3 linked regions of the Caenorhabditis elegans genome follow. The protein of the gene in region 1 purifies or fractionates together with the protein of each later gene. This does not show direct contact. Each region holds a gene or a part of one and is shown in the gene's direction. Other genes may lie near its edges.

The links.
Region 2: the proteins of fbxb-87 (region 1) and F13H8.11 fractionate together in Caenorhabditis elegans (co-fractionation; one large-scale study listed by BioGRID). This does not show direct contact.
Region 3: the proteins of fbxb-87 (region 1) and pph-5 fractionate together in Caenorhabditis elegans (co-fractionation; one large-scale study listed by BioGRID). This does not show direct contact.

Annotation. Positions count from the first base shown.
Region 1 is NC_003281.10:10,889,894-10,900,527, forward strand, and holds fbxb-87 (F-box domain-containing protein), read left to right. Parts: upstream 1-4,626; 5' UTR 4,627-4,795; coding exon 4,796-4,875; intron 4,876-4,938; coding exon 4,939-5,839; 3' UTR 5,840-5,841; intron 5,842-6,245; 3' UTR 6,246-6,363; downstream 6,364-10,634. Other genes in the region: athp-1 (PHD-type domain-containing protein), read left to right, coding at 229-437, 1,140-1,717, 2,598-3,031, 3,510-3,682; com-1 (DNA endonuclease activator Ctp1 C-terminal domain-containing protein), read left to right, coding at 6,535-6,588, 7,094-7,399, 8,130-8,469, 9,096-9,376, 10,349-10,405, 10,510-10,634.
Region 2 is NC_003280.10:6,252,816-6,263,984, reverse strand, and holds F13H8.11 (Lipase_GDSL domain-containing protein), read left to right. Parts: upstream 1-3,963; 5' UTR 3,964-4,029; coding exon 4,030-4,165; intron 4,166-4,213; coding exon 4,214-4,447; intron 4,448-4,495; coding exon 4,496-4,728; intron 4,729-4,785; coding exon 4,786-4,946; intron 4,947-4,991; coding exon 4,992-5,482; intron 5,483-5,959; coding exon 5,960-6,087; 3' UTR 6,088-6,372; downstream 6,373-11,169. Other genes in the region: F13H8.12 (MSP domain-containing protein), read right to left, coding at 691-777, 1,047-1,163, 1,209-1,358, 1,405-1,437; nmgp-1 (Neuronal Membrane GlycoProtein), read right to left, coding at 1,541-1,631, 1,712-1,870, 1,914-2,080, 2,261-2,416, 2,462-2,526, 2,574-2,763; dbd-5 (uncharacterized protein), read left to right, coding at 7,959-8,004, 8,411-8,991, 9,259-9,321, 9,393-9,470, 9,527-9,607, 9,739-9,867, 10,268-10,373, 10,449-10,537 and 2 more.
Region 3 is NC_003283.11:19,186,146-19,197,266, forward strand, and holds the start of pph-5 (Serine/threonine-protein phosphatase 5), read left to right. Parts: upstream 1-4,401; 5' UTR 4,402-4,409; coding exon 4,410-4,533; intron 4,534-4,591; coding exon 4,592-4,839; intron 4,840-5,470; coding exon 5,471-5,650; intron 5,651-6,319; coding exon 6,320-6,562; intron 6,563-7,391; coding exon 7,392-7,640; intron 7,641-9,089; coding exon 9,090-9,199; intron 9,200-10,753; coding exon 10,754-11,006; intron 11,007-11,121. Other genes in the region: hot-2 (Homolog of Odr-2 (Two)), read left to right, coding at 396-498, 654-754, 1,326-1,508; Y39B6A.3 (Iron-sulfur cluster assembly 1 homolog, mitochondrial), read right to left, coding at 3,195-3,347, 3,453-3,542, 3,619-3,706, 3,755-3,819.

The DNA of each region.
Region 1 (10,634 bases):
TATAAAGTTCAGCAATGGCCGAATTTTTCACCCGGATTTTCTAGGCCATGACCAATATGCCATAATTAATGGCCGAGTTTTTAGGGTTTCTAGGCCATTTCAAAAAATTCAACAGTGGCCGAGTTTTTCAACTAGATTTTCTAGGCCACGACCCAAATTTTCAAAAATAATGATGTGAAAAAGCGCATAAAATACTTTAAAAAATGAAAATAAAATGTAATATTTCAGAAAACATGCCGCCTCCAGCAGCCACTATTACGGAAAAATCGGATCCATTTGATTTTTCTTCACTTGAAATGCCCGAAATTCACGAAAAAGCCGAAACAGTATACGAGGCTGAAGGATATTACGGAGAATCCGATGATTTACCATTGGATTTACGTCGAACGAAAAGTGAATCCGATCTTGTCGATCGAATCATTTGGCCGTTGGTTCGGGTGAGAGTTTTCGAGCAAATTTTGATTGAAAATTCGGAATCTCCGTAATATTTTGGCTTGGGAACCGGAAAACTAGAAGTTTCTAGCTTGATTTTGGATTTCGCTGGTTTACGGTAGCTTGGGAAGTACGCAATCAGTGTGTTTCCGTTTTCTTCAGGCTACCGTAATCCAGGAATTTCTTATTTTGAGCTAGTGACTTTTAGTTTCTTTTTTTCGAAATAAAAATTAAAAAATTTGCGGTTAAAAATCGGAAAATCTGAAAAAATCGATAAAACTTTGTTGATTGGATTTATCAACAAAAAAATTTATTTTTTTTAAGGAAAAAAGTTTACAAAAATTGTTAAAAATTAGAGTTTTTTTCCCAACAAATTTCGGAAAAAATGTCAAAAAAAAAAAATAAAAAACATTTTTTGCAAATTGGGAAAATTCTAGATTTAAGTATTAAGAAAACGATTTTAAAGAGAAAAATATTTCCGATAAATCGAAAAAAAAAACACAAAAGTAATTTTAAAAAATCATTTTTTTTTAATTTCAAAAAATTGAGAACTCTTCGATTTTTTTTTTGTGAAAAAACCCAAGAAAAAAACCGATATAGTTTTTAAAAATATAATCTTTTTTCCCGAAAAAAACAATAATTTTTTCCGTTTTTTTTGTTGCAAAATCCAAAAAAAAATTCAAAAAAAAAACGGAAACAAATTCCAGAGCGCCCTTCAAAATTTCATACGCCGTGAGGATTGCCATCAAATGCACCTGGAGCACAATTATTCTTCTCTCTACCAAACTCACGACTCGGATGAGGAAAATCAACCGGTGGTGGAGGTGGAGAAACTGATTACCTATGAAGAATACCAAGAAAATCTTTATTCCGCAGAATTTGCATCTCCACAGACTCCACCGCCAATTCCACCACCTCCCGCCGTCTACTATGACAATTTCTCGGATGCTCCTCGAAAACGCGGTCGACCAGTTGGATCAAGAAATCGGAAGGAGGGAGACACCACAATTCCGAAGCAGCAGAGAAAACGGAATCCACAACCGGTTGGACGTGGCCGTGGCCGTGGTGGTGGACGGCCACGTGGTAGTCGATCTAGCAGAGGATCAATGGATGATGGAGGAGGATCAAGACGGCACTCGACAGCATCAGATGCTAACGAATCTGCGGAATTGTTGAACCAACCTGTGACGAAACAGCTGAGAGATGAGATTAAAGAAATAAAACTGAAATACACGAAAATGATGATGGATCGGGGTTTCGAGCAGGCGAAGGACGAGTATTTTAGGTTCGAATCCCGGAATTTCAGAATTTCCCGCAAAAAACTAGATGAATTTAGTTCAATTTTGCACTATTCCGGTTACTGTAGCCTCGAAAACTGATTATGGCCGAATTTTCCCATTTTCTAGGCCATGGCAGCATATTTTGGCCAATTTTAATATAGTGGCTGAGTTCTAGATTTTTCTAGGCCATGGCTGCAAAAACTTGGCCAAATTGAGCAGTGGCCGATGTTTTCAACTGGATTGCCTAGGCCACGGCCCACAGTTTTCGAAATGTTGTGTATTTTAAGTTCGAATTCCGAATTTTCAGAATTTCCGACAAATAAAAAAATTGATGAATTTAGCTCAATTTTGCACTATTCCGGTTACTGTAGCTTTGAAAATACGCAAACACTGATGATGGCCGAGTTTTCTCATTTTCTAGGCCATCCTAATTCAAAAAAAGTTTTAAAAAAATTGATGGCCCATGTTATATTTCTAGAAAGCAAATCCACTTTTTTTTTTTAATTTTGAGTCCTAGGCCATGTTTGTCAAAACTGCTCCAATTTCAAAAATTCAATAGTTGCCGAATTTTTCCATAAGGTTTTCTAGGCCACGATCAGAATTTTGTGAATGGTGGCCGGGGTTTTGAGTTTCCTTAAATTCCTTTTTAAAATTTTCAGTGGCTGAGGTTTTTCTAGGCCACGTTTTTTCTTTGTAATCCAGTAATTCCAGGGGCCGAGTTTTTCTTTTGCAGTTTCTAGGCCACGATAGTAACTTTGAAAGCACCTTTAATTAATTTTTTAAAACAGAAAAACAGTGAAAAATTAGCATTTATAATTTCTAGACCATGGCCGAGCTTTTTCCTTGATTTCTAGGCCATTTTTATTTATATTTATGAATTTTCAGAAATCGTGACGCAGCACTCAGCAAATGGACGCCTGAACAATGGAAAGAGCACAATGAGCAATGTGTGGCAGCCCGTCTCTCGTCTCTAATCCCATACGATCAACGATATTTCCTACCGACTCAACGGGTCCTGGCACGATTGGATCTCGAGGATGGCGATCTACGACTGCCGGCGGTGCATCTTCCAATTGCCATTCAAAGATGTGTCACAAAACTCGGCACCGCCCATGATTGCCACGTACGATGTGATAAATTGACGGGCGATGCGTGGTGCTCGGTGCTTGCAGATTATCATTGTGATATTGTTCGCGATTATTATTCGGATAATTTTTATATTTCGACACTCGGCACTGAAGCGGTTTTTGTGGATGGACGGGCGGTACGAAGACCGCGGCTGACACCGTTTGAGGCAGCTGAGAAATTGAGAACTCGAGGTATTGGAAATGCCAAGAAATGGGCGGGGATTGGAAACTCCGTCTACAAAATGGATAATAAAAAATTGAGGAGTGCGGAAAATGTGGAAATTTTAATTTTTTTTCCGAAAAATTCCAAAAACTCAATTTTTTTGGTGAAAAATACTAAAAAAATCTACAATTTTTAGGGTTTTTAAGGCATATTAAAATCAATTTTTTCTGAGAAAATTCTGAAAATCCGAATTTTTTGATTTTATTTGTTTTAATGCAAAAATATCTACAATTTCTAGGCTTTTTTTCCAAATTAAATTATTTTTCCTGATAAAATTCTGAAATTCCGAATTTTTTTGATTTTTTTTCAATTTTCCTTTAAAAAAATGCCAAAAAATCTACAATTTTTAGGTTTTTTTTCTGATAAAATTCTAAAAAATTACGAATTTTTGGGATATTCTTCATAAAAAGGATCCATTACTTATTGAAAAAAATTTAATTTTTGCAGGTTCCTCAACAATCATCCCTCCACATATCAAATGTCGATGCCAAAAACATTCTGATCTACAAATTTCGCGCCAAGAGAGCACCGGTGAACTCGTTCGCTGTGGAATCCTGAAACTGGAGCACGGAGCACGTATTCAAATTGGCTGTGTCGCGTTCATCTTCTCTAGGATCTAATTATGTGATCTCTTACCTCTTTTTTTCTGTCCGTGAATATCACGTATTTTGATTTTGAAATTTTTTTATGTGAAATCGTAAAATTTTAATGATTCTTTTGGGTGTTTTTTTTTTTGGAAAAAAAAGATTTTTCCGGCAAACGACACGTACAACAATTGCTGAAATTGAAAATTTCCGGCAAATTCGGCAAACCGGCAAGTTGCCGAACTGCAATTGCCACCCATCCCTGTTGTGGGTGACAATCATTTTCCAAAATTTGAAATTGAAATGTTCAAAAAAAAATTGAGCAACGCAGGTTCTACTCCTACAACAGTAGGTGTATGGAATAAAATACTCAGGCAACTCAAATCTAATATGAAAATATTAAATAGCAATATTTTTGTAGTAAATACGAGAAATAGTGCGTCCATATAATATTACTAAAAATTTCGAATAGATTTCGATTGTCTCAAAATATTACAATTTGATCTCAAAATATTGCGAAATATTCTCAAAAGATTGCTCAATCTAAAAAGATTTCGAATAAGTCTCGGAATATTGCGATTTTATCTTGAAATATCACCCAACTACAAAAATATTGCTATTTAATATTTTCATATAAGATTTGAGTTGCCTGAGTATTATCTAAAACTTTGGGAATATCATTATGAGTGGTGTTGCTCTCGCTCTAACAGGATAAAATATCATATTTCCCAGAGTTTTCAATTGGTGTCAGAGTGTCCCATTTCGGTTTGATCTACGAGAAGCGCTGACGTTACGGTTTTCTGTACAAAAATTTGTAGATCAAACCGTAATGGGACAGCCTGACACCACGTGAGTTTGTCCGGTTATGCCCTGCATTTTGCAAATGTTATGATATTTATAATTTTTATAAATAACATTTTTCAATTGTGGAAGACTGTTAGAGTTTCTTCTGCCAAATGTACCTCCAGAATTTTTTATTTAGATGTGGTTAATGTTCATATCTCTGACCCCATGCCTGCCTGTGTATTAGTTGGAGTGGTCAGGACCAGTGTACATCTATAACGTATGTAGTACCCATTATCTTTTTCCTAATCAATAACCTGTTGGTTCACCAAGTCATTCATTTTCTTATTCATTCTTCTTACAACCATGATGAGAGGTTTTCCAATTTTTCGATTACCGCATAAACCACTACGTTTATTGCTGAAAACTATGGAGGTGCAAGATTTGTGAGTGCATTTTTTTCCCAACTGGAAACATAAATATTCTTATAAGTAGAAACAAGTTTTCAGAGTGAGGATATCGTTTTATTCAAAAACTGCCAAACATGCTGTTGAATCGTTGAATATGAAGCTCATATATTTTTATATAACAATTTCTGGGACAATACAATTTGATATCTTCACTTATAATATGGAAGATCTCAATTTGAAATTGTCTGTGACACAATCTGAAGGAAGGAATTTGATTCGAGTGCACGGTGAAAAAGTAATGACAGGAATCAGTTTGCGGGAGTTTATAGATCAAATTCTTACAATATTCCATCAAGCAACTATTCATAAGCTATTTATTAAGCATATCGACTACGATTATCTAGAAGAATTCAATAATTTGAATATTCAACTTTTACACCTCGCGACTAGGAGCTCACTGAAACATTTTGCAAGACGATTCGATTTTCTAACTTTAGAGCAAATTACTTGGGAAACTCGAGATTTCCAGTCACTTGTGGGCCTCAACTTCAAACATTTAGAAACAAGAAGCACTTTTAAACTAGAAGACTTACTCGTTTCAAATACTTCTCAAATACTTATTCATGAACCATTGCCCCTAACAGATCTATGCATATTTCTAAAACATTGGATCAATGGATCAACTGAACGGCTGGAATTATTCCATATGCGTCTTCCTCAAAATTTTCAGAAGGAAGAATTTATTCAGAATGCCTTAAGTGGTATTAAATACAAAAAACTGGACGTCGACCAAAAACTGGAGTTCGAAGCAGCTGTGGATGTATGGAAGGACTCACACAGAGAGGTGAAAAACGAGGGATTTGGAATCCAAAGGAGCGATGGTACCTACGCAATTATTGTTGTGTGTGATGAGTTTGCAACTAACAAGTATTTGAAGATGTTTGTTTGGAAGCCGATTGATTCAAGTATCGGAGATCTCCTTAAAATTGCATCGTTTTAAATGTTAGTTTTGATTTTTTCTTTGTATTTTTGCGCTAAAATACGGTAAATCTTTTGTTTAATGCGAAGAGGTACGCACCTTTAATGAGTACTGTAATTTTAAACTTATTTTTTGCCGCGTGGTTTCCGTTGCTCGAGCCAAAAAAATGCCGAAGTTATTTATTAGAATTTATTCTTGATTTTAATCGATAAATATATATTATTTACCACAAACCATTTCGACTTTGATCAAAGCTTTGATTTAAATATATTTAATCTTAAATTTCCCGCTGCAAACGCGCTCGCTGACACGGCGCAGAGATAAGAGGGCGCCAGAGAAGTTTTGAGAGAAATCATTTTTTTGAATTTTATTTTCAATGTTTCCTGAATTTCAGCTCAATTAAAGCGGAAAATGTTTATTTTTGCAGAGTATCTACGTGGTCACAAGAGGAAACTTGTACAAAATTAATTTAAATGTTAAACATCTATTTTAAAATGATTTATTATTTATTTTTCTGTTGAATAAATTGAATAAACTTAAATCTTGAATTTAAATCGTGAAATTTAAATCGTTTTGTAATTCTGGTTGCCAATTTACCAGTTCATTTCTATTTTATTAACAATTTCCGCACAGATCATCAGTTTCCCTTCCAGGAATCCCAAAAAATGGACAGATATTACGGTAGCCACGTGGCAAATTCAAGTTTTGACTCATTTATGCAATCTGTGGATCCATTTGAGCCAACACCGAAACGAAGATCCACTGGAGAGGTAATTATGCGAAAAAATCCGGAAAAGCTCGAACTTCAGAGGTTTTTCCAGCTTTTCAAGGAGAATTCTTGAGAAATTGGAAAAAACATAGAAAAACTGGCAGAGTTTGCTCAAATTTTTGTATATAAATGACTGCCTTTGTCAATTTTTGCAGAATATTGTTGAAAATCGAACAATTTCATCAAAACATTGCTGAAAATACAGAAAACCTGAAAATTTCAATGTTTTTCGAGTTTTATGCAGAAAAATGCGATAATTTTCGCCTGAAACTCGTTTTTTTTCAAAAAATCTTTTAGAAAATTGAAGTTTTGAGTATGCTAAAACAATAAATCAATTTTTCCAAAAATTTGCGCGTCAAATATGGTGTATTAAGTACGCAATTAGAAGTTGTGCAAACACCACTAATATTACACCATATTTTACGCGCAAATGTGAATATTTTGTCTTAAAATTGCAGTTTTTGAAAAAAAAAAAGGTTTTTTTTTCAATTTTCTCAAAATTTCAGTCGGACAGCATCGCCCGAGCCATCAGAAATGCTTTGGATCCCGAGCTACAGTACCCCCAGCCATCAATCGATATTTTTGGACCGTCTACATCAAATTTTGGAAATTATGAAGAAAATGATGAATCAATTCTGGCAATAGTATCCTCAACACATTCTTCACAAGAATTGAGCACAACAACGGATAGGGAAAAACCGCCGAAAAAAGTGAAAAAAGAGAAGAAAATTGGAGAAAAATTCCCGATTTTCAACTCCAAACCGGCGCATCAGCCGATTATGGATGATTTTTTATCACCTGATGATATCGAGGTGATTAATGGGATTTTTTCTATAAAATCCCGGAATTTAAGATAAAAATCTAGAAAAAAAGTTTTCCATTGAAAATTAGAGTTTTGACTTATAAAAAAATCGCGACGAGACCCATTTGAACAAAATGCGTGCGCCTTTAAATTTAAACTCTGATTTTGAAAATTCATTAAAATTTGAATTTTAAAAATTTTTCGGAAAAAATTGCATCAAACTTTTGATATTCATTCATTTTTTCTTAAAATTGGTTGAAAAAACTCAAAAAATTCTTAATTTTTCAAATTTTCAAGTTTTCTGATTTAAAATTTTTCTTTACGTTAAAAAAATTAAAATAAACTATAAAAAATGCTTCAAATTCTTTGAAAAAAAAAATCAAAAAAAAGACCGATTTTTCTTGAAAAATCCAATTCCTAAAAACCTTCTTGCTACAAATTCTGCAAAAATTCAAAACTCACAGAATTTACAGAGAAAATAAAAGCTCAAAAAATTCGTATTTTTAGCAGAAATTCAAAGTTCTAAACAATTTTGCGCGTCAATAAAATTGGATTTGAAAAAAATTAACCTGAAACTTGTAAAAAAATTATTTAAAAAAAATTTTTTAAAAAATCGCTCAATTTTAATATTTTTTGTTGAAACAATATGGCTAAAATTTCTAATATTTAGAGCAAATTATCAAAACGGTCCAAATCTCATAAAAAGTTTCTGAAAAATTCCAAATTTTCTGTATTTCCAGCGCTACCGTAACCGTCCCCGGAAACCATACGTAAAACAAATTCGAATGGACGATTATCTATTCAAAGCCCGTCGAATTGATAAAGGATCACGAGAATTTGGATTACACACAACACACGAACCAAAACGTGGAAGCAAGAAAAAACGGGATTCGATTGAAAGTCTTGAAGTTGAAAATATTCAGAAACCATCGAAAAAGCACAATGAGCAACATCAAAAGAAGCCTGAGCAACTCGATTTCACACTGGCATTCACTACGCCGAGTCCGGCAAGAAATCGCCAAAAAACTTCGAAATTGACAAAGTTTTTCGAGAAAAATCCATCGAAAACTTCTAATCGAGGTGAATATTTATTTTCAATTGTTTTTTTGAAAATTAAAAATTCAAAAAAAATTATTTAAAAAAATCTGGAAATTATTGGAAATAATTTTTAGTTTTTTTCGAACATAAAAAAAACGTGTTTTTTGCTTAAATTAATTTAAAAAAAGATTCTCTAGAAAAGATTTCCGCTTTTTTTGAGATTTTCGAGAAATATCGAATATTTGAAAAAATTTCATTGAAATATACGGAAATGAGCTGGAAATTTAAAATTTTCTTTTTTTTTTTAAACGAAAATTCGAAAAAATAATTCCATTTATCAGAGAGTCGGTTCTTTAAAAAAATTTTTAAAAACAGAAAATTTTAAAATCGAGAAGCAAATATTTCCCATATATATGGGAATCGAAACAGTAAAAAATATTTTCTAGATCGTTAAAATTTCAAAAATTTCCGTTTTTTCAGAGATTTTTAAAGAAAATCGAATATATGAAAAATTTCATTAAAGAAATAGAGAAATGAGCTGAAATTTTGGGATTTTTCGATTTTTTTTAATTAAAAAAAAATCAGAAAATCGAGAAAAAATTTCTTGATTTTTTTAAAGATTTTCAACAGCAAAATAAATTAAAAAATTAAAAAAAAATTATTTCCAGATTCGAAAATTGAAAACCGTTCGAATTCTTCATCTATCATGTACAATGATCCATCTGCCTACTCAAATGATAGTATTTTGGATGATACAATTATCTCCTCAACACCTCCTGATAAATCATCATTTCTCGCTGAAACTATGCCACTAGCGACACCAAGTCCCAAGAATTTGACACCAAAAAGAGCTCTTCCGACTTCTAGTGCTCGATCGATATTCGGACACGTTGTGCTGCCGAATCCGATGAAACGAAAGGATTTAGGTGTTCTGGCAGCAGTGGAGAAGGTTGGAAATTTCTGAAAATCTGGAATTGGAGAATAATTGTGGTCTCGCAGCGAAGATTCTAAAAATAGATAAAATCAAAATTTTCTAAAATTAAAAAATGCGGAATTTTTTTAAATTGCATTTTTGAACCCAAATTTTTTCGAAACGTTTTGTTCATAAAAAAGTTTGTAAAAATTCAAAAAAAATTTAAAATTTAGAAAAAAATGCAGAAATTGCCCAAAAGCTAAAGAACAATGCAATTTTTTTAATGTGAAAAATAAACACAATATTGAAAAAAATAAATATTTGAAAATAATTCAGAATTAAAAAAAATCAAGCAACTGTTCAATTTTTTAAGGTAAAAAAAAAATTCAAAATCAAAAATATTGTAAATCTATAAAGATTCACGAAACTTTTTTATTTAAAAAAATTCTGAAAAACTCTTAAAAAATTATTTTAAAATTCCTATTTTTTTAAAATTTCAGAAAAATTACAAATATGTATTTTTTAAAATTTTTTATTTTCTATTTGGAAAGATATAAATTCAGAAATATTTAGACCTTTATACTGAATTTTTGTCAAAAATTGAAAAAATCAATTAAATCCCAATTCCAAATAAATTTAATATCAAAACACTTAAAAAAATTTTTTAAAAAGGTAAATCTGTAAAGATTTGGAAACCTTTTCATTGGGAAAATTCTGAAAAACTCAAAACTTTCTTTTGGAGTACAAATTTGAAAATAAATTCAGAAAAATTACAAAAATGTAATTTTTAATTTTTTTTTCCAATTCAAAAAGTTAAAAAAAAAAAGAAAGAATCGAATTTTTAGATCAAAATTTTTTTTTATTGTGAAGAAAAATAAATTCCAAAAAAATACTGAATTTTTGTCAAAAACAAATTCAAAAAATTAATTAAATTTTTATTTCAAAATGAGCAATATGAGAAAAAATTGTGCACTCAAAAATTTAAAACTTAAATTCGATTTTTTTCAGGACCGCCAGCCATTGAAACAAGCGAAACGTCAAAAGACGACTGGCTCAAGTAAAAAGGTAAAACTTCTCCCATAAATTGGCTTTTCGCTACGTGGCCGCGAAAAAACTCGGTCACAGGCACATTTTTCCTCAAAAATTTCTGAAATTTCTGAAATTTTCAGCCAGAATTCGACTATCCATCGTCGCCAATCACACTTCACGATGAGCAGGAGGAGCAGGATCTGAAATTGAGAACACCCGAGCGAAAGACTCTGCAAAACGAAGAGGCGCAGAGAAAACAATTCGG
Region 2 (11,169 bases), on another chromosome or scaffold:
TCACACAAATAATGCAATTCGTTATTTTCTAGAGTATGTTTTCATGGCAACTGAATAGATGAGAAATTGAATTGAAAATGCAATTGGATTAGTTTGCAACTCTAGTTTACTGCCAGAAGATGCGAAGAGTGGGCCAAAACTATGGTAACTTTCTGTTGAAACTTTTTTATACTTTGAAGTCAACGATATTTTTTTCAGTTTAATTGTGAGGTTGACTATTTACTTTTTCAGGAATTTTGAACAATGAAAAAATGGGGTTTCTCCTGTTTTCAGAGAATTGAGTGTTTCATTGTGAATAAAATCCATAAAATTGCTCCCGTTAGTTATTTTATTAATTGCCATATACATTTTATGGAACAATATACTTTGAAATCATGAAAGACCAAAAATTGAAGCAAAAGCAAGCAGAGGTCCACAATCAATGGTCCATAATGAAAAATGGATCTTGCAACAGATTTGATGAAAGGATTTTGTGAACAACTTTCTTGAAAACGTAACAACGTTGAAATGACGAATGAAAAACTTGTTTTGTTTTTTTTCAGAACCAAGTCTCCAAGTTTTTCTGAACGTTACGCAACTTTGATATCATAAAACCTGCAACGATCTGTGAAAAAACCAACATTTGGGAGTTTCTTCTTTTGTACTGAACACACTTTTAACAGTGAATCGAAATAGTTTATTGACTTATAATCAGTTTTTGGTACAGTTCTCAAATTCCATAACACACTTCGGTTGCACATGAACAGCAAAAATGATCGGAACTTGGACTGTTGTGTTCTGAAAATTAGAGTGGCCTCAAAAGTTTATTTTTTCATTTCAGGAGTAGACTATATATCTGAATCTCGAATTAACTTTAATAGATGTGGATTTACATAGTGTTAAATGATACTTTTTAATTTTAAAGAAGTACCCATATTTTTCATTTTCAGTCCATCATAACACTTATCGTAAAATGTAGATCAAATGCAGAATTCAATTAAATCGTAATGTTTTGTCCTCGAATATACTCTTGTTGAGAAGTCAAAATCCAACTAATAACCTTTTACCTCTAAGCTTCTCTTTCTAGTTTCCGCCGGCGTCAACCACATTTTCACCGAGTGATCTGCATCCATCACATCCGTATTTGGAAGATGACCTCCATTAAATTGAATTTCAAACGATTTCTGAAATACACGCTCATAACTTTCACCAGAATAAAACTCAAATACAGTCTCTCCTGGCTCCATTATGCCAACCGGCGGATTCACTTTGAGCAATGGTCCGAAACTAGTCTCCCAACCAAACTTCATTCGTTTTTGAAAACGATTTGCTACTTCCAAAAACATCGTTTGATCGCGAGTATCATCTTCGAATATTATCTGTTACAAAACGAAACATTGAAAGAAAAATATAAATTGTTTATACCATTTGTTGATCACCTTGCGAAAGTGTTGTCATGATGATAGGTTTTGAAAAGAATTAATAAAAAGCATTTATTGTTGTCGTGGAATAATTTTTAAAAAATTCAAAATCCTAATTATGAACGTGAGATTTTTAAAAGTTAGTAAACCGGTTTTAATCTTTTATCCCTGCGATAATCGAACTGACTGACAGAATCAGACATGTGCTCAGCTTGACGGCTTGTTGAGGTTCTGAAAAATAAAGCAGTAGGTGAGATGAATAAAAAATTATTCTTCAATTTGAAACCAATACCTAAAAAAACTTGGCTTACCTCATTGAATAATTTGCACGAGAATCACTATATTGTGTTGATTGAAGTTCATATTTTTCTGGCAATCGTACATCTTTCCGACCATTTGCATTTTTAGAATTTCGATCTGCTCCTGGTTCTCGATGTTCAACTATCCGAAGATGGCCAAGTTCAACGTATCTAAAATTTTGTTTTCACGGCCTTCCAATATGAAAATAAAAACCTGTTAGCATTTCCAATATGTGCATAATTTGATGCATGAATTCCAAAAAATAAAAGAACTCCAAGAATGATGAGAACACATCCAACCCATCCGATGACATACCAAGAGAATGCTGTGGAGGTAAGTGCACAGAATTGTTGCACATCTCCACCGCACATTCGAAGATTCTGAAATAATTCATTTGTTGACTTTAATTTTCTCAAAATGATAAAGTTGTTGTTCATAAACTTTAGGAAGAATACTCAAAAAAATCCCAAATTTTAACATTTCTCCAATTCAACCTACATATGTAAATGTGGAACTTATTAAATTGCTTTCTTTTGAGAATCCTAAAACTTAATACTCACCGAGTTGGCAAAGGACGAAACTAATGGCCAGAAAACATGAAGATCTATACAGTCACCATCTGTATATCCTGGAAGATTCATGCAGAGCCGATCGAAGAAATAATAAAATATACAAAGCCAAGATACAATTGAAATAATGAATAGCCATGCAATTATCTGAAAGTTAGTTTTAAAATTATACGTTTACTGAGCAATTCTTACTAGAAAGAAATCGATCAACATTGCGATGACGCATGCAAATTTTCCACCACAGCGAGCTTCATCGTCTGAAAATATTGTACATAAGTTCTCCTAGATCATTGTCATTTTGAACCTTTATACATAGTTTCTCTTGTTCCTCCAGTTGCAGTAAATCCGATGCATAAGAAGAAAAGTGAGAATAGTCCCATTAAAACTGCGATTACAATAAAGAAAACTTGAACCTTGTCAAGCCATGGCCAATCATTTATTTTCAGAGATCTTCTGACTTGCTCTGCAGTTGCATTAAATGCCCAGGACATCATAATTGCAAAGAGAATAACTCCAAGAATGCATAATAATGATCCAATAAGTGATGCATATGGTATTCGATGAAAACAGTCATCTTCTTCTGCGTCCGCATTCAAATGAACGACGGCGGCGTTCTGCGAACGTCTTTGCGCCGCCTCTTTCGTTGATCTTGACACTATTTTGACAGTTTGAAAAATATTATTTCAGATGAAAAATAAGAAACAAATGTAGCCGTGGAATAATTGTAATAAGCAAGTGCAAGCGGGCACCGGGGCAACAAAAAGGTATGTATGAGTGTGTTTGTTTGTATTGCGATCGAAATTGGAAACGGACGCGGAAAGGTGAGATAGTGGGTTGGGAACAAATTTAAATATTGAGACGCAGACAGCTCGCCACGGATGGTCAGTTTTAGCGGAGGAAAGCAGAAAGAGGAGAAGATGATGGTGAGTCATGTTTGCATGATCTTCGATGAGAATGTCGCAAGGTGCCATTTGAAAGTTGGAACAACTCATGTATGACGCAATTTTACATTTCCTCTGGGTGACTTGTGGTGTTATTTTCAATTTATTGAATCAGTAGGAAACACACACATTTTAAAATGAATGTGCATGCAATTGTGATGTACGATGAGCTGCAATCATGAACATCTGGGAAAAAGAGTTGAAGAATACAAAGGAGTCTGCTGCCGTTTCATTGAACACTTTTCAGCGGCACCTGCCAACCGGATATACATTGAGAATTTTTTTGAAAGTGGAAATATGAATATATACAGGTTACTGTTTTCTGAGAAATGGTTAAATTTTGTTAAAATTATATTCAGGAGTTCTTTTTTTCAAAGAACTTCTTAACTTTTTCATATATGGTGACATGGGTTTATCTATCACACAGCCTGAACGCGGTCTTCACAATTGATTTTTTGAGCATTTTTAGGTGGCATTAACTGTAGATGACCTCGTTTTCATCACCTCTCGCAAGCCCTTTTGAGTTTGAGAAAAGCTTATTGAGACTTATGTACTAATATCAAATATTATTCGCAGTAGAATTTGAGCGCTAAATAAATGAGTTGGTGTTTGTGCTCAGTTTACTTCACAATTTGCAAAAACGAAATACATATAAACACAGACTACACAAACTTGTTTGTCCCCTTTTTTACCAATTTGCTCGCCCTCTTATCTATGTCCTACGGTGTAAATTGGAAAACAGACTATCTTATCATTCTGAAAAACGATTTAACTTTAACATACATGTTACCTCATTTTTCTGCAGCGTTCTTCTTGAAAATGGCACGGTTTTTCCTTTTTTTGGCGTTTGTGGAAGTTAATTCTATTATTTCACCTCCTAATGAAATTATCGAAACATCTGTGGAAGTATTCAATCAGTGGAAAGAAACTAGAAATGCGTTTATGGATTCAATGGGTTAGTTTATTAATCGTTCCATCTAACCCTTCAAGTTCCGTGTTACAGAGTACCCAATGGGCTTTCCAAACTTCAATTGTCCCCAACCTCATCGAAAATCTTCCGAATCTGTACATCAGCTTCATCCATCACAAATTGGAGTGATAGCAGCACTAGGCGATTCTGTGTCAGTTGCACAAGCGGCGAAATCATCGTCAATTCTCGATTTATTTGATCAGTTTCCTGGTGTTTCGTTTGTAACAGGAGATGATGTAAAGCTGAATGAGCAAGCCACCTTTATTAGTAATAATTCGTTTTGACTTTCACTTACTTGCAACAGAAGCTTTTCAGATATTTTCCGTAAATTTGCACCGCGAATAAAAGGAGGATCCTCTGATTTTGTTCAAAAGTTTTACGACTTTAACATGGCGATTCCTGGCTCATTCAGCTCGGAGCTTCCCGAACAAGCGCTCAAATTAGCAAGTACATTGAAGAAAAAGCTGGGTAGAGAAACATCTGATACATGGAAATTCGTTAATATTTTCATCGGTCATAATGACTTGTGTAACATTTGCAATAATGAGGTAAAATAACCATTTCACATCGGAGCTAATTTTCATTTCCATTAAAAAATATTTCAGACTACCTTCGGGCCTGAAACATTTGGAAAGTCACTTCACTCGGCACTTACAATAATTCAAACAAATGTTCCAAAGGTATTCGTTAACATAATGCCACCAATAAATGTCAAAATTCACTCACAAGCTCACAAGTTGAGTAAGTTCTGCGAGTTTTCACATAGGTTTGTTTTTCAAAATTAAAAAAAAAATTAAACATATAATTACAGAAAAACATGCTCGTGTATTTTTGAATTAAATGAAAAAGAATATCAAAACATCAAGAAACAATTCGATGAACAATTGAATGAAGTTGTAGAACAATTCAATCAAAAATATGGAAATTCATCTACATTTGCTGTTGTGATTGCTCCAGCCATGGATCTAAAATCAATTCCGTTACTTAAAAACCAGCCGAATATTGGACTATTGGCACTCGATTGCTTCCATCTTTCTCCAATTGCTCATGATATTGCTGCGAAACAAATTTGGAAAGGATTGTTCGAACCAATTGATCAAAAAACAATCACTAATCAATTATCAGTTGGATTCGATAGATTCGTGTGTCCTCCTGTTGAATGTCCGTACCTAAGAACGATTCAAAACTCTGAAAACTGTGAGCCATCAAGAGAAATGAGATTTCTCCGAGTTCCTTCAGCTTTTGCAAGCTCTCCTGGTTTAAGCATGCCTCCATACATGATTCCTGTATTTTTCCTTTTTGGTGAGTTTGGTCTGGGAAAAAATACGTTGCTTATTTTTTTGTGAGGCGGCTTAGATTAAAAGCAGCTGCTATAATAATCAATAAAACCACTTTTCAAATATTTTCATTGGGAGAAAGTTTCCGTTTTCGCTTTTTCAGAGATAAGAGATATAAAATAAAGGGGCACCAATAAACATATTTTCTCAAAAACGCTAGACGCTAATTGCCTGCCCTCAAGGCACCTACGCCTGCGTCTTGTGTACTACCAAATTTGAACTTTTTCACTTTTGAAGATTATGTAAACATACTATAAGAAAAACGGTTTAAAAATATATCAAAAATACTCTGCACGGTGAAAAAATCTAACACCTGAGTTCAAGCTAAAGTTCAAGAAAAAAGGCATAGATGTAGGCAGGTAGATATTCTGTCACTTATGACTAAAAATATGTCTTAGCATTATTCAACTTTTTATATAAACCGAAAATATTTTGTTCCTAGGTACCGCTCTAATACTCCTATTTGTTCGTGCTTCCATCCGCAGTTCTACGACGTCTTCCGAGTTTTCCGATGAACGACATCATCTACTTCTTCCGCTGCGTGCCGACCTCAATGACAACATTTTCTAAATGGTTTCTAAAATGTACTCATGCCACTTGATGAGACAGTTGCGTGAACGATGAGAACGTCTAGATTTCCACTTTTTATAACAACTACCAGCACCCTTCTTACTCTTCCTAATGATGTCACACCTATGCGGGTTTTATTTCGAATGGCGTAATGCATTCTATCTCACTACATCCATTAATGTTGCCTACTGTATTTATTGTTTTGTGTAGACTACATATCAGTCCCTAGTGTAGTATCATAATGAAATGGCAAAGAGGAAATAAATGGAAGTGTGTCTGTATGTACATATATATCTCCAAAAAGCGATTCATTCAGAAAGAGACAGAATCGAAATTGAGAGAATGAAGAGGAGAAGGAAACCCGATTGTGATTACGTAACCGAGTTTCTTTCAGAATCAATCATAGTGGACAGAGGTGATAAGATAAATTGAGGTAAAAAGATCCGATGGACATGAGAACCAGAGATTTATTATTACGTCATCTAAAGTTCAAAATGGCTTTAAGAAGTTAGGATACTCGATCATAAAATGTTCTTATTAGGTGACACACATTTAGAATAATGAGTCCGATCATATATAGTCAGATATTCTCTTAGTTTTCCTCATGTTTCCATCAACTTTAGTGAAATTTTCCGAAGAAATCAAATCTGAGCCCCTGAAATTTCCATCAGAAACTGTTTCAGTACATTTTTTGCTGAATTCGGTATTGTTAGATTTTATTTTTTTAAATCTTTACAGATCATTTTTCCAAATAGTATGAGATTGTTTTTCTGGAACTCCAAATATTCAATCCTCAGGCTATGCATAGATTTCTAGGTTTGCTAGAGTTGATTGAGAAGTTGCGGCGAATTGTCGAGATTTCAGACCAATTATTAATTTTTCATTCAATACCGAAAAGTCTACGCAGCTTTTCAGTTTTTCTAGAAATTACAAGATCCATTGTTGTGGACTTGTATGTTCATCTAAAAAGACAATGTCAGCCACAGTCGGTCCATTCTATATATCCAATTTATCTACTAAAGGAACTCGTTTTTTTATTTATCTTTTGCTTTTCTTTTTTGCTTCGTCCTTTTTCAAAAGGCTTTTCCTTTCCTGTGGCGGCGGCGGCGGGCGGCCAAAACATCTGTGGCGTCGTGCCCTCGTCGATTGCGCAATGCTTCATCTTCATATCCTCTCAGCTTTTTCTTCATCTTCTGGAGACGGGTTTAGCGGTGTCGCGCCGTTTCGTCACGTTGTGTCGTCAGGGTGTCATGACTCGAGAGAGAAAATGAAAGAGGAAGGCATGTAATTGTTTGTGATGGGATATGCAATTGCCAATCAAAAAGGTTAGCGCCTTGAAAGTGAAAGATGTCTCACCGGAATAACCGCTTCATCTATGTATTCCGTTTATTCAAACTATTTCAAACAAAACAATTGCGAAGGTCATGACCATCAAACTCTTCATCATTGTAATTCAATTGAAATTAAGAAAATTGAAACGAAACTCCCAAACCACAATCAACTAGTAGTGTTCTTGGCAAGTGTGACCATAAAGATGTACAACACCTAGTATATTCTTAATTAACAATCACGGCATCTTTCCCCTTGTCTTTCAAAGCAGCTTCACACCAGTCTCTGTGTCGCCTAGATTATACTAGAAATTACACATTTTGCCCACGCACCGTTACAGAGAGAGAGGCCCGTCGACCTTTTCCAGTGTTCCTCTCCCTCCGCCTTCTCTCTTCCAAAATCTTCTTCACCAGCTTCTCCCGCTCCACGTCTTGGCCACGCCCCATTCGGCTTTAGTTAGCAGTGCTGGGCTGCCCACTAAGATCCGGTCTTGCTAGTCTATACCTTCTTACCTTTCCATTTTCTCTCTATCTACCATTATTATGATCTACCGATTTGTGGCAACTGTTGCCATATTGGCAGCCAACGGTGAGCTCTAAGTTCTATTATAGGTTAATGTAGAAAGTTTAGTTTCAACCCATAGTTTCAGTTATCCACTGAAAACACGAATATATTGCATTTCTAGTACCACTACCATTTTCAAAATTTGAAAATTATATATTGTCTTTCTGTTCCGCACCCCATCACTCAAACTTGAAAGTTTTTTTTCCGTTAGACTTGAAAATATCCGTAATCTTTCTAGAATGAAACTAGAATAACAGATAATGAATTTATGTCAGTTGACAGATTTAAAAAATTCTGATATAGCTGCCACATGGTGCAAGACTCATAGTTAAATACGGTAGCATATTTCCCAAAAACATTACCATCATAATTGTCAAGAAAATATTCAGTTTGAAACTTAAAAAAAACGTTTTTTAAAATTTAATTTCAGCTCACTGTCAATACTATCAATGGCCAGAACAACATCAACAATTTAATAATTTCAACGGATTCCCGCAATTCCAACAGCAACAGTTTCAACAACCACAGCAGTTCCAGCAGCAACCACAATTCCAGCAACAACAACAAAATTATCAGCAATTCCTAGCTCAACAACAGTACCAACCACAATTCCAAGCTCAGCAACAGCCTCAGCAACCACAATATTTCCAACCACAGCAACAGCAGCAGCCTGTACAGTACCAACAACAGCAACCACAGCAACCACTTCAATATCAGCAGCAACCACAACCAGCTCCACCACCAATCTACTCACAAACTGTTGTTATCCCACAAGCTCCACCCCCACCACCAGAGGCTTATCAGCAACAACAATATGGTCCATCTCAGCAGAATCCAGTAATGGTTCAACCAGCCGATATCCCAAGATATCATCAGAAGCCTCAGCCAGTTCCACAAGTACCAGATGTTGCATTCCAACATGTGAATACTGCTAGAAGTGTTCAACAAGTCGATTTTGATAATAAATTGTTCCGAGAGCAACCAAATTCATTCACTCAAAACCAAGAAAAGGTAATTATGGCACAAAATTGATTTTATGCACCAAGTCAAAAAAGTTTCCTCCAAACTTTAATTTAATTTTGTTTAAAACTATTATTTTGCCAAACAGGATGTTTTGGATATGATTGAGAAGTTCGAACCATTAGTTCAAAACCTGGAAATCAAAAAATACGACACCAACTATCCCTCCTTATTCACAGATTTTCATTAAGTTAAAAAAGTTTATTTCAAATGTTCTTTGTTGATTCCTCTGATTCCCTTATTTATCTTATGTTGCAGATCACTCTGCTCGCCCAACCACCACCACCTCCGGCACCTCCAGCACAGACTCAGGCACCACTTGTACGTGCATGTTTCAATATTTCATCTATATCACTCACTTCACTGTCCTTGTCGATCCTCATCATTTTCAGATCCGTGTCCCTCCGCCGCCAGCCAGATTCATTCCAACTTTAAAATCTCTGTACAGTATTGATCCTCCACGTCCAAAGGTCCTTATTTTAGTTTTGTGATTTCATTTCTTTAACCAATTGTAACCATTCTCCAGAATCCATCTTACAAACCCGATGAAATTATTGTCGATGGTCATCGATCTTATTTTGAGGATACACAAAGAACAAGACCACAGGTATTATTTTATTTTAATTTCCTTAATTTTTATTATCCTTTTGTCGTTCTCGTCCATATTAATCATGTCAAATGTTACAGTTTTCAATTAAAATAATAATAACAGTAATCATCGGATTTTTCAATTTTTAGTCTACCAAGACCCGTGTTCAATCAGTAGGAGGAAGCGTTCATTCAAGTTCTGCCAATATTCCACGAACATCTCAACCAGCCGCTGTTGTATCTCCACCACAACAACGTACATTTGTCAGACCAAATGAGGTAAAAATAGTTGTTCTAGATGCAAAGTTTTGCGATTTTGCGTCAAAATTACGATACCCGGTCTCGACGCGGCAAGAATTTTTTGAATGCGAAAAGGTGCGCGCCTTTAAAGATTACTGTAATTTCAAACTTTCGTTGCTGCGGAATTTTCATATCAAGACTCATATCGTAATTCGACAAAAATATTTTTGTTTATCAAAAAAATACTATAAAATTTTAAAAAATACTATAAACAATGGATGAAAATTCCGCATCAATGAAAACTTGAAGTTACAGTACTACTTAAAGGTGCACACCTATTTGCATTTAATTAAAAATTTGTCGTGTCGAGACCGGATACCGTATTTTTGGCGCCATTATGTAATAATAAGAGTTTATAAAAGCTCTAACTAATTTACAGCAATTCCAACAACCCCGTGTCGTTCGTCCACAACCACAGCAGCAATTGACACGTCCAGCTCCAGCTCGGCCGCAAACTAGAAGACCTGTTCCACAGCCACAACAAGGTGAGTATCTAGATGTGAAAACTCATACAGATGAAACTTCATGTAAATTTTTTTCAACTCTAATTTCAATTTCAGCAACACGACCAGCTCCTCGTCCAGTTGCTCCAAAGAGCCATTTGGCACAACAACCTGCTCCAGTGACTGCTCCAGTTGCCAAGCCAAGAGTAAGATTACACCTCTTAATTGAAATCTGAATTTTAAATTTTCAGACTGCCAGTGCAAAATTCCTCCAGTGCTGCAAGGGACGTAAGGTGCATAATTCTTGCGAACGAATTTGTAGTTTTGATGTTCTTTCGAAGAAAGTTCTAACTGGAATGTTCCTTGGAACTGATGCATGCCCACAACATCACGGTCTAGATCTGATGCAGTGTGCTGCTGATAATGATGATCACACTGCATGCTGTATTGATCGAGAAGTTGATAAAACGTCTGCTGGAAAGAAATGCCTTGGATTCTGTAACATGAAACCGGGAATTACATTCCAGGTAATTATAATGAAATTATCTTTGTTAATTAATTATTTAAGGCTGATGTATCGATGCTTCCATGCTGGTCTGTCCTCAACGATATCAAGCAATGTTTCAAGGAGAATTTGGAACGACAACTTGCTGCCCTTTAATACTAATACAATTGAAACTGAGCTCTCTTCAAAATGCCAACCCCCACTTCAATCTAGTCCTTGCCATGTTAAATTATTACTCCGCCTTCCAATTTATCTTTTTTCTAATTGAACCGGTGTTGTACAATTTTTTGGTTATCAGATTGGTTTCATTTGAATTGGACTTGATTGTCACTC
Region 3 (11,121 bases), on another chromosome or scaffold:
TTATATTTAAATTGACCGCAATTATGTTCTGAATTCAAAAATTTTAATTTCAAAATTTTCAGACCTCAGAATTTTGAGAAAATCGGAAAATTCGAAAAATTGAAGAAAAAAATTTGCCATTTTTTTTTGCAACTTTCGAATTTTTACCAATTTTCAAAAAATATGGTAAATATGTCATAATTATACTAATATTCACAACAAAAAAAACCGAATTCGAATTTTTTTGTATATTAGGTCTCAAAACGTTGGCTGTAGTTATAATTAAAAAAAAAAAGAAATTTCAATTCCTCGTAATTTGGCTGGTTTTCTATATTTTTTTATTTTATTTTTTCAACCAATCATCATGAAAATTGATAAATAGTCGTATGAAATGACGATTATTCTAAAAATTTCAGGTCTTCACCGACAGATGCCGCGACCCGAATAGTGAACGTGGAATGCCTACTGTAATGTGTGGAAGTGTATGTGTATCGCTGATGGAGCCCGATGTGGAAGCTGGTAGGCATTTTTTTGAAGGTTTTTTGATTAATAGAAATAAATGAGCTAGAAATTCAAAAAAAAAAAATTTTTTTTGGAAATTTTTGAAAATTCTGAAAAAATTTTTTTTTTCAAAAATTTCAAAAAATGATTATTTTTAATTTTATTTTTTCCAGGAGTATTTATCGGCTTCAAACATATCCGAGGATGCTTGGACCGAGTTTTGCGGCACGGATTTAACCAATCAGCGCTCCGAACTCACCGGTTTCATCAGAATGTGAGTTCTTCTGGGGTCGAAAATAGTGTGGAACTCGTCAACACAAAATGCTCAATGAGCTCTATCTCTCGGCTCAAAGAGGCATTAGCTCAAATTAAATAAAAAATTTGATTTCGCCATAAAATTTGCTACTGATTTGACCCCCATATCGACAACTTCAAAATTTTAGAAATCGACGTCCCAAAATGCTCATCGAGCTCTATCTCGGCTCAAAGTGACGTTAGCTCAAATTTGATAAAAAATTTGAATTTGCGATAAATTTTGCTACTGATTTGACCCCCATATTGATATTTTTGAAATTTTGGAATTTGACAACACCAAATGCTCATTTTGAAAAATCGATTTTCTAGGCCTCAAAATAGGCTTATTTTGAGTTAAAAAACATTTTTAAAGCCTAAAAGCTTAAAAGCTTAAAATATTTGTAGTCCCGACAATTTTTAGACAGTTTTAAAAATGAGTCCCAGTGGCGCAGTATGTTAGAGGCGCGTTTACCACGCACAGGTCCAAAGTTCGAGTCCCACTGCGGTCAATAATTTTTATTTTTATTGTGATTCTTAATAAAACATTCCAGAACCACTGCCGAACGCTTTCCCGCTCAGCCCTCTTCAACCCAGCCCGGCAGACTGACCCCCCGGCACTCGGCGATGTTCAACTGTGCTCGTGTTACGGTGACCGGTGTAATTCTACAATAATGACGTCATCATCAATATTTATCGTCTTTTTATTAGTTTTTCTACATCGGTTATTGTATTGAAAAAGATTTTCTAAAAAATTTTTTTTTTGTGAAAAAAATTGCAATTTTTTTTTGAATTTATTGATTTTTACATGTCTTTCTTTGGATTTTTTTTTTGAAATATGATCTCCGTTTCTCTAGATGCCCATTTTTATGTTGGATATATGTATTACGGGTTTTTATATAAATATATATATATATTGGAAACACCAAACATTATTGGTTTTTTTTTTTGCTATTCTAACTGTAAGTTTTATTGCAAAAAGTGAATAAATTTTTACGTTCTTTTTTCTGAAAATTGTTTTATTTAAAAAAAAACAAAAAAACAAAAAAATTCAAAGATTTTGTCCAAATGGCTCAGTGGGATTTTCGCCGAACAAACTAAAACTACGAGAAAAAGGTGAAAATTGAGTTTTAAAACTTTAATTTATGAAAAATCTAAAAATTTGTGAGTTTTTCGCATATAAAAACTTAAAATTTAACTTAAAACCGTGATTTCTTATAATTTTCATCATTTTTCTGAATTTTTGAAAAGTTCGGTACAAGTGGCTCAGTGGGATTTTCGCCGACTACCAATCACAAGACCGGGGTTCGAGGCCGCGCTGAGGTCAAAAATTTTTGTAGTGGTTTTTTAACGTTTTTTGACAATTCAACTACGTAGAGTCCAAATTTTTAAGTGTTAGAAAACCAAAAACTACAAGAAAATGGTGAAAATTAAGTTTCAAAATTTCAATTTTAAAAAAGTCTAAAACTAGAGCTTTTTACATATAAAAACTTAAAATTTAACTTAAAACCGTGATTTCTTATAATTTTCATCGTTTTTCTGAATTTTCGAAAATTTTGTCCAAGTGGCGCAGTGGGATTTTCGCCGACTACCAATCACAAGACCGGGGTTCGAGACCGCACTGTGGCACAATTTTTTTATTGTGATTTTTAAACGGTTTTCGGATAATTCCACCATGCGGAATCCGAATTTTCAAGTTTTAGAACACAAAAACTACGAGAACATTATGAAAATTGAATTTTAAACTTTAATTTTTTTAAAAATCTAAAATTTGTGAGTTTTTCACATATAAAAAATTAAAATTTAACTTAAAACCGTGATTTCTTATAATTTCCATCGTTTTTCTGAATTTTCGAAAATTGTGTCCAAGTGGTGCAGTGGGATTTTCGCCGACTACCAATCATACCTCCGGGGTTCGAGTCCCCGCTGTGGTAAAAAATTTTTATTTTGATTTTTAAATGGTTTTCGGATAATTCCACCATGCGGAATCCGAATTTTCAAGTTTTAGAACACAAAAACTACGAGAACATGGTGAAAATTGAATTTTAAACTTTAATTTTTTTTAAAATCTAAAATTTGTGAGTTTTTCACATATAAAAATTTAAAATTTAACTTAAAACCGTGATTTCTTATAATTTCCATCGTTTTTCTGAATTTTCAAAAAAATGTGTCCAAGTGGCGCAGTGGGATTTTCGCCGACTACCAATCACACCTCCGGGGTTCGAGCCCCCAGCGTGGTCGAATTTTTTTGTATCTTTTGTATTTTTCTCCAAACAAGTTAATCATGCAAACTTCATATGTTTTTCACCTGAAAATTGCCAAATTTTCTGCACTATATTCAAATTTATTAGCATTTTTTCTAGAATGTACACGTGGAAATCACTACTAAATTATGGTAAATAGCGTAGCAAATCATCATCAAATCAAATACTAAAAGATTCTCCGCATCCACACGTTCCTTTAATATTAGGATTTCGGAAAACGAATTCCGACGATAGCTTATCGGTGACGTAATCCATTTCTGAGCCGAGTAGCGAGAGCTGAGCTTTTGGTTCGATCCACACTTTGATTCCGTCCTGGAAAATGGGAAAAATTGGGGGATTTTTCATCGAAATTAGTGAAAATCCGGGTTTTTTGTGATAAATTTGAGCTAAAAATCCAGATTTTGAGGCAATTTCTACCTGCTCAACTTCCTCGTCAAATTTCTGCTTATCCTTTGCATATTCCAGTGTATATGTTAACCCATTACAGCCTTTTTGTCGAACTCCGATCTGAAAAAATTAAAAATTTCATCATTTCCGGCGGCGCAAAAATCGAAAAATCGAAAAATCGACGGAAAAAACGAACTTTCAACGCATTTGCATCATTCTGTTGAGCCAATAACACGCGTATTCTGCTGACGGCTTCGTTGGTAAGTGTGAGAGCCGCTCTGAAACTTTTTCGGGGTGAAAATTGGCAGATTTCCGGGAAAATTCAGAATTACCTCGTTTGTCGGACTTTTAGCGCGCCTTTTATGACTTTTGCAGTTGCTCCACCGAATTTTGACATCGGAAAATTGAAAATTTAGTCGAAAAATGAGTAAAATAGCGAAAATTCCAGAAATAAAATGAAAAAAAAAAAAAAAGTGACAACGTTGCTCCGAAATCCCGGCCACGCGTGTAGTTTACCGTAAATCCAAACAAGAAATTTTTTGTCAAAATTGCCGAAATCAAGCGATTTTTAAGCTTTTTTTCTGTAAATTTTTTACGAAAATATGAAAAAATCAACGTTTTCATGCTATTATTTATTTTTCCCCTGTAAAAAACCTTTGAAATCATCGAAAAACCCTTAAAATCCAATAAAAACCCAAACACAACGACACTCCGCTCACCTCCCACCGCGTGTTGTTTACCGTAAATCCACACACAAGAGCAATTGTGCAAAAAAAAAAAACCCCGTCCAACCGGAAATTGTCCCAAAATTCTTCATTTTCTATCGATTTTCTTGCATTTTTTGTGTTTTTTGTGAATTTCAGGCTCAACATTTCGAAAAACACGGTTAAATTTTAGGGAAACCGCTCCGAAATTCGGTTTTTTTCGCTAAAAAAAAAGAGAAAAAAAAGAAAAAAAAAAATAAAATCTAAATTTTCAGGCTCCGAAATGGCTGCCACTATAACAGATGACATTGTGGCGACAGTTTTGGAGTCAATTGAGGAAAAGTCGTACGAAGATGAGAAGGAGAAGGCTGGAATGATTAAAGATGAAGCTAATCAGTTTTTTAAGGGTATTTTTTGGAAAAAAACCGATTTTTTGATGAATTTTAAAGTATTTTCCTGCTGCAGATCAAGTGTACGACGTGGCCGCCGACCTCTACTCTGTCGCAATTGAGATTCATCCGACGGCGGTTCTTTACGGAAACCGTGCACAGGCCTATCTGAAGAAAGAGCTCTACGGAAGTGCTCTTGAGGATGCGGACAACGCGATTGCAATTGATCCGTCATATGTGAAGGGATTCTATAGAAGAGCTACCGCCAATATGGCTCTGGGGCGGTTTAAAAAGGCGTTGACCGATTATCAGGCGGTTGTTAAGGTGAAAATTCACTTTTTTTGGGTGTTGAAGAGCGGAAAAAACGGCGGTTTAGAAACTATTTTTCACCCGGTTTAAGAGAAAATTTCGAAAAAATATATCAATTTTCACCTCCAGAAAGTCGGAAAACGCGAAAAATTTGAAATTTTGCTTTTTCAATTTTGGGCGCTGCTAAGACTACAAACTACAAGATTTTGGGCGCTGCTAATTCAATTTTGGGCGCTGCTTAGACTACAAACTACAATATTTTGGGCGCTGCTTAGACTACAAACTACAAGATTTTGGGCGCTGCTAATTCAATTTTGGGCGCTGCTTAGACTACAAACTACAAGTTTTGGGCGCTGCTAATTCAATTTTGGGCGCTGTTAGACTACAAACTACAATATTTTGGGCGCTGCTAATTTAATTTTGGGCGCTGCTTAAACTACAAACTACAAGTTTTGGGCGCTGCTAATTCAATTTTGGGCGCTGCTGACAGCTTTCGGCCGAAAAAATTGAAAAGAAATCGATATTTATGAAAAAAAAAACCAATTTTTATGAGAAAAACGTGATTTTTGATAATTTTTCTCTCAAATTTAGTATAATTTCAAAAATTCCCGTATTTTTCCCCGAAAAAATTTCCATTTTTTTGCAGGTTTGCCCCAACGACAAAGACGCTCGCGCAAAATTCGACGAATGCTCGAAAATCGTCCGCCGACAGAAGTTTGAAGCCGCAATTTCGACGGATCACGACAAGAAAACCGTCGCCGAGACTCTTGATATTAATGCAATGGCTATTGAGGATTCGTATGATGGTCCACGGCTGGAAGATAAAGTACGGGTGGAAAATGGCTGTGAAAATCGATTTTTAGACGGAAAATTGATGTAAAACCGGCAATTTTGACCCCGAAATTCAATTTTCAGAGCGGAAATTGCGATTTTCGGTGGAAAACTGATGTAAAAATCAATTTTTCATAGAAATTTGATCTAAAAAACGGTCCAAAAACATAAATTTTTGTGAAAATCGATCTAAAAATACGTTTTTCAAGGGTAATAGGCCAGAAATTCGAATTTTTTTGCGAAAATTAGTCCAAAAAATCGATTTTTCAAGGGAAAAGTGGTCCTGAAACTATTTTTCATAAAAATTAATTTGAAAATCTATTTTTCACTGCAATTTTAACCCAAAAATCGATTTTTCACAAAAAAAAACTAGCATTTCCGGTCAGAAAACGTGCAAATTTCCAATCTTTTTTGGATTTTCTGGAATTTTCATTAAAAAATTGGTCCAAAAATCTATTTTTCATAGAAATTTAGTCCAAAAGTCAATTTTTCACGAAAAATTCGCCTGAAAATCATTTTTTTTTCATAGAAATTTAGTCTAAAAATCGATTTTCCGCAAAAAATACAGAAAAAAAGTGAATTTTTCGTTAAAAAAAAGCGAAAAATTGAGTTTTTTCCCGTTTTTTCCGTAAAAAACCGCAAAAATGATCAAAATCCTTTTCAGATAACCAAGGAATTCGTGTTGCAACTCATCAAAACGTTCAAAAATCAGCAAAAATTGCACAAAAAGTACGCGTTCAAGATGCTCCTCGAGTTTTATAATTATGTCAAATCACTGCCAACAATGGTTGAAATTACGGTGCCAACTGGCAAGAAATTCACGATTTGCGGTGATGTTCACGGACAATTCTACGATTTGTGCAATATTTTCGAGATTAATGGATATCCATCGGAGACTAATCCATATGTACGGGGAAAGCGCTGAAAAATGAGAGATTTTGACTGAAAATCCGGGAAAATTGAGGAATTTTGAGCTAAAATTCATAAAAATTTCCAATTTTTGACCGAAAATCATGAAAATAGGCAAATTTTGTGATATAATCATGTTTTCTAGTGAAAAACCTCTAAAAATTGAATTTTTTTGCAGAAATTATTGAAATAAGCTCAATAAATCGACATTTTGATTGAAATTCGTGAAAAAATTTCAAACATTAAAACCAAAACAGCTGAAAATTGAGGAATTTTCACCAAAAATGCGGATTTTCAGATAAAAACCCTGAAATGATTTTTTTTTTCAAAGTTTTGGCAGAAGTCATTGAAAAATTCCGAATTTTTAGCAAAAAGCAAAAAAATTGCCAATTTTTGACTTTAAATTTATGAAAAATGCTCGATTTTTTTACTAAAAACCGCCTGAAAGCCAAAATTTTGTCAAAAATCTTGAAAAAGTCGAATTTTCTACAAAAAACCATCAAAATTTCGAAATTTTGACTTAAAAATCAATGCAAAATATTTTTTTTTCACTAAAAAGCTGAAAAATGCTCTTTTTTAATGCTCGAAATTTTGGCTAAAATTCATTTTAAAAAATCCTGATTTTCACCAAAAATTGGCAATTTTTCATCAAAAAACTTGAAAAAATTTCAATTTTTTGCTGAAATTGCAGAAATACCACAAAAATTACCAAATTTTGACTCTAAAAATCACGAAAACACCTAATTTTCACCCCAAAAACCCCCGAAAATGGCCAAATTTTCACTTAAAATATGTGAAAAATGCTCAAAAAATGGCCAAATTTTCAGCTTTTCAACGGTGATTTCGTGGATCGTGGCTCATTTTCCGTTGAAACAATTTTCACAATGATTGGCTTCAAACTTCTATACCCAAATCATTTCTTTATGTCACGTGGAAATCACGAATCTGACGTCATGAATAAAATGTACGGATTTGAGGGTGAAGTTAAGGCGAAATATACTCAACAAATGTGTGATATGTTTACGGAGACGTTCTGCTGGTTACCATTGTGCCATTTGATTAATGAGAAGATTTTTGTGAGTTTCTTCACGTGAAAAATGGCCTGGAAATCTGGAAAATTTGAGGAAAATGGCCCAGAAATCGCTGAAATCCTGGATTTTTCATTTCTGGGCGCTGCTAATTTTCTGGACGCTGCTAATTTTTTGGTCACTGCTAATTATTTGGTCGCTGCTAATTTTTTGGGCGCTGCTAATTATTTGGTCGCTGCTAATTTTTTGGTCGCTGCTAATTATTTGGTCGCTGCTAATTTTTTGGTCACTGCTAATTATTTGGTCGCTGCTAATTTTTTGGGCGCTGCTAATTATTTGGTCGCTGCTAATTTTTTGGTCGCTGCTAATTATTTGGTCGCTGCTAATTTTCTGGGCGCTGCTAATTTTTTTGGTCGCTGCTAATTTTCTGGTCGCTGCTAATTTTCTGGTCGCTGCTAATTTTCTGGGCGCTGCTAATTTTTTTGGTCGCTGCTAAATTTTTGGGCGCTGCTAAATTTTTGGGCGCTGCTAATTTTCTGGGCGCTGCTAATTTTTTGGGCGCTGCTAATTTTTTGGTCGCTGCTAATTATTTGGTCGCTGCTAATTTTTTGGGCGCTGCTAATTTTTTGGTCGCTGCTAATTATTTGGTCGCTGCTAATTTTTTGGGCGCTGCTAATTTTTTGGTCGCTGCTAATTATTTGGTCGCTGCTAATTATTTGGTCGCTGCTAATTTTCTGGTCGCTGCTAATTTTTTGGGCGCTGCTAATTTTTGGGCGCTGCTAATTTTCTGGTCGCTGCTAATTTTTTGGGCGCTGCTAATTTTTGGGCGCTGCTAATTTTCTGGTCGCTGCTAATTTTCTGGTCGCTGCTAATTTTTTGGGCGCTGCTAATTTTTGGGCGCTGCTAATTTTTTGGTTGCTGCTAATTTTCTGGGCGCTGCTAATTTTTGGGCGCTGCTAATTTTTTGGTCGCTGCTAATTATTTGGTCGCTGCTAATTTTCTGGTCGCTGCTAATTTTTTGGGCGCTGCTAATTTTTGGGCGCTGCTAATTTTCTGGTCGCTGCTAATTTTCTGGGCGCTGCTAATTTTTTGGTCGCTGCTAATTTTTTGGTCGCTGCTAATTTTTGGGCGCTGCTAATTTTCTGGTCGCTGCTAATTTTTTGGGCGCTGCTAATTTTTGGGCGCTGCTAATTTTCTGGTCGCTGCTAATTTTCTGGTCGCTGCTAATTTTTTGGGCGCTGCTAATTTTTTGGTCGCTGCTAATTATTTGGTCGCTGCTAATTATTTGGGCGCTGCTAATTTTTTGGTCGCTGCTAATTATTTGGTCGCTGCTAATTTTTTGGTCGCTGCTAATTATTTGGTCGCTGCTAATTTTTTGGTCGCTGCTAATTTTTTGGTCGCTGCTAATTTTTTGGTCGCTGCTAATTTTTTGGGCGCTGCTAATTTTTTGGTCGCTGCTAATTTTCTGGGCGCTGCTAATTTTTGGTATTTTTCCAGGTGTGCCATGGTGGATTATTCAAAGAAGACGGTGTAACACTGGAAGATATTCGAAAAACTGACAGAAATCGTCAGCCACCAGATGAGGGTATCATGTGTGATCTACTTTGGTAGGTTTGTAGGAAAATGGCTGAAGATTCGGGATTTTTTGATAAAAACCAGAAAAATTGCTTCAAAAAAACCTGAAAATGCGTATGTTCAGTCAAAAACTAGGAAAAACTTATATGATTTCCTAGAAAAAATGCTCAAAAATATGGTTTTTCAGGGAGAAAAATTGGAAAAATCTGAAAATTTTATATCCAGATGGAAAAATCAATAAAAATTCCAATTGTCAGCCAAAAACTTGCAAAAATGCGTTTTTTTTTTGTTCGTACAAATTGTGAAAAATCAGATTTCTGTCGGGAAAATCAATAATCTGTTGAAAAAAATAGTTAAAAACTCGATTTTAGCATATTTTTCAGCCAAAATTCACATTGAACTTCCGGAAAATGCAATTTTTTAGGTTAAAATATGAAAATATGTTGAAAATTGAATTTAAGCATCACTTTCATCACAAAATCACCCAAAACCTTCAAAAAAAAAGGCAAAACTGCTGAAAATTGTAATTCCCGTTAGAAAAATCATAAAATCTTCTAGTTTTCAGCTAAAAATCCCCAAAAACCCCCATCTAAAAATGTTCAAATCACATTTTCCGCCAAAAAATTGGAAAATAGTTGAAAATTGAGTTTTCTAATAAAAAAATCGTTAATTTTGAGCCGAAATCACCAAAAAATGGGAATTAAATTGGCAAAACTGCTGAAAATTGTAATTCCTGTCAGAAGACTCGTAAAAAATCCAAGTTTTACGAGTCTTCTGACAGGAATTGCAATATTCAGCAGTTTTGACAATTTTTGCACAAAGAATTCCCATTTTTTGAGGTTTCGGCTCAAAATTAACGATTTTTCTATCAGAAAACTCAATTTTCAATTATTTTCCAATTTTTTTGGGGGGAAATGTGAAATTCGAACATTTTTAGATGGGGTTTTTGGGGATTTTTAGCTGAAAACTAGAAGATTTTATGATTTTTCTAACGGGAATTACAGTTTTCAGCAGTTTTGCCACTTTTTTGGAGGTTTTGGGTGATTATATGATGAAAGTTATGCTAAAATTCAATTTTCAACATATTTTCATATTTTAACCTAAAACTTTGCATTTTCCGGAAGTTCAGTGTGAATTTTGGCTGAAAAATATGCTAAAATCGAGTTTTCAACTATTTTTTTCAACAGATTATTGATTTTCCCGACAGAAATCTGATTTTTCACAATTTGTACGAACAAAAAAAAACGCATTTTTGCAAGTTTTTTGGCTGACAATTGGAATTTCTATTGATTTTTCCATCTGGATATAAAATTTTCAGATTTTTCCAATTTTTCTCCCTGAAAAACCATATTTTTGAGCATTTTTTCTAGGAAATCATATAAGTTTTTCCTATTTTTCGACTGAACATACGCATTTTCAGGTTTTTTTGAAGCAATTTTTCTGGTTTTTATCAAAAAATCCCGAATCTTCAGCCATTTTCCTCTGTTGGAGGTTTTTTGGGTGATTTCAGCTCAAAATTAACGATTTTTCTATTAGAAAATGCACATTTTTCCGTCAAAAACCGTCTACTAAATAAATTATTTCAGGTCAGATCCTCAACCAATCAACGGCCGGAGCCCGTCAAAACGTGGTGTCGGCTGTCAATTTGGACCAGATGTGACGTCAAAATGGTGTGAAACGAATGGAATTGAATATGTAGTGAGATCACATGAAGTGAAGCCAGAAGGATATGAAATGCACCATAATGGACAATGTTTTACCGTTTTCTCGGCACCAAATTATTGTGATCAAATGAATAATAAGGGAGCTTTTATCACGATTACTGGCGATAATTTGACGGTAAGAAATCGCACTGCAACTTTTTCCTCACGAGGGACGAGGAAAAGTGGTTTCTAGGCCATGGCCGAGGGGCCGACAAGTTTCAGCGGCCATTTATCTTGCTTTGTTTTCCGCC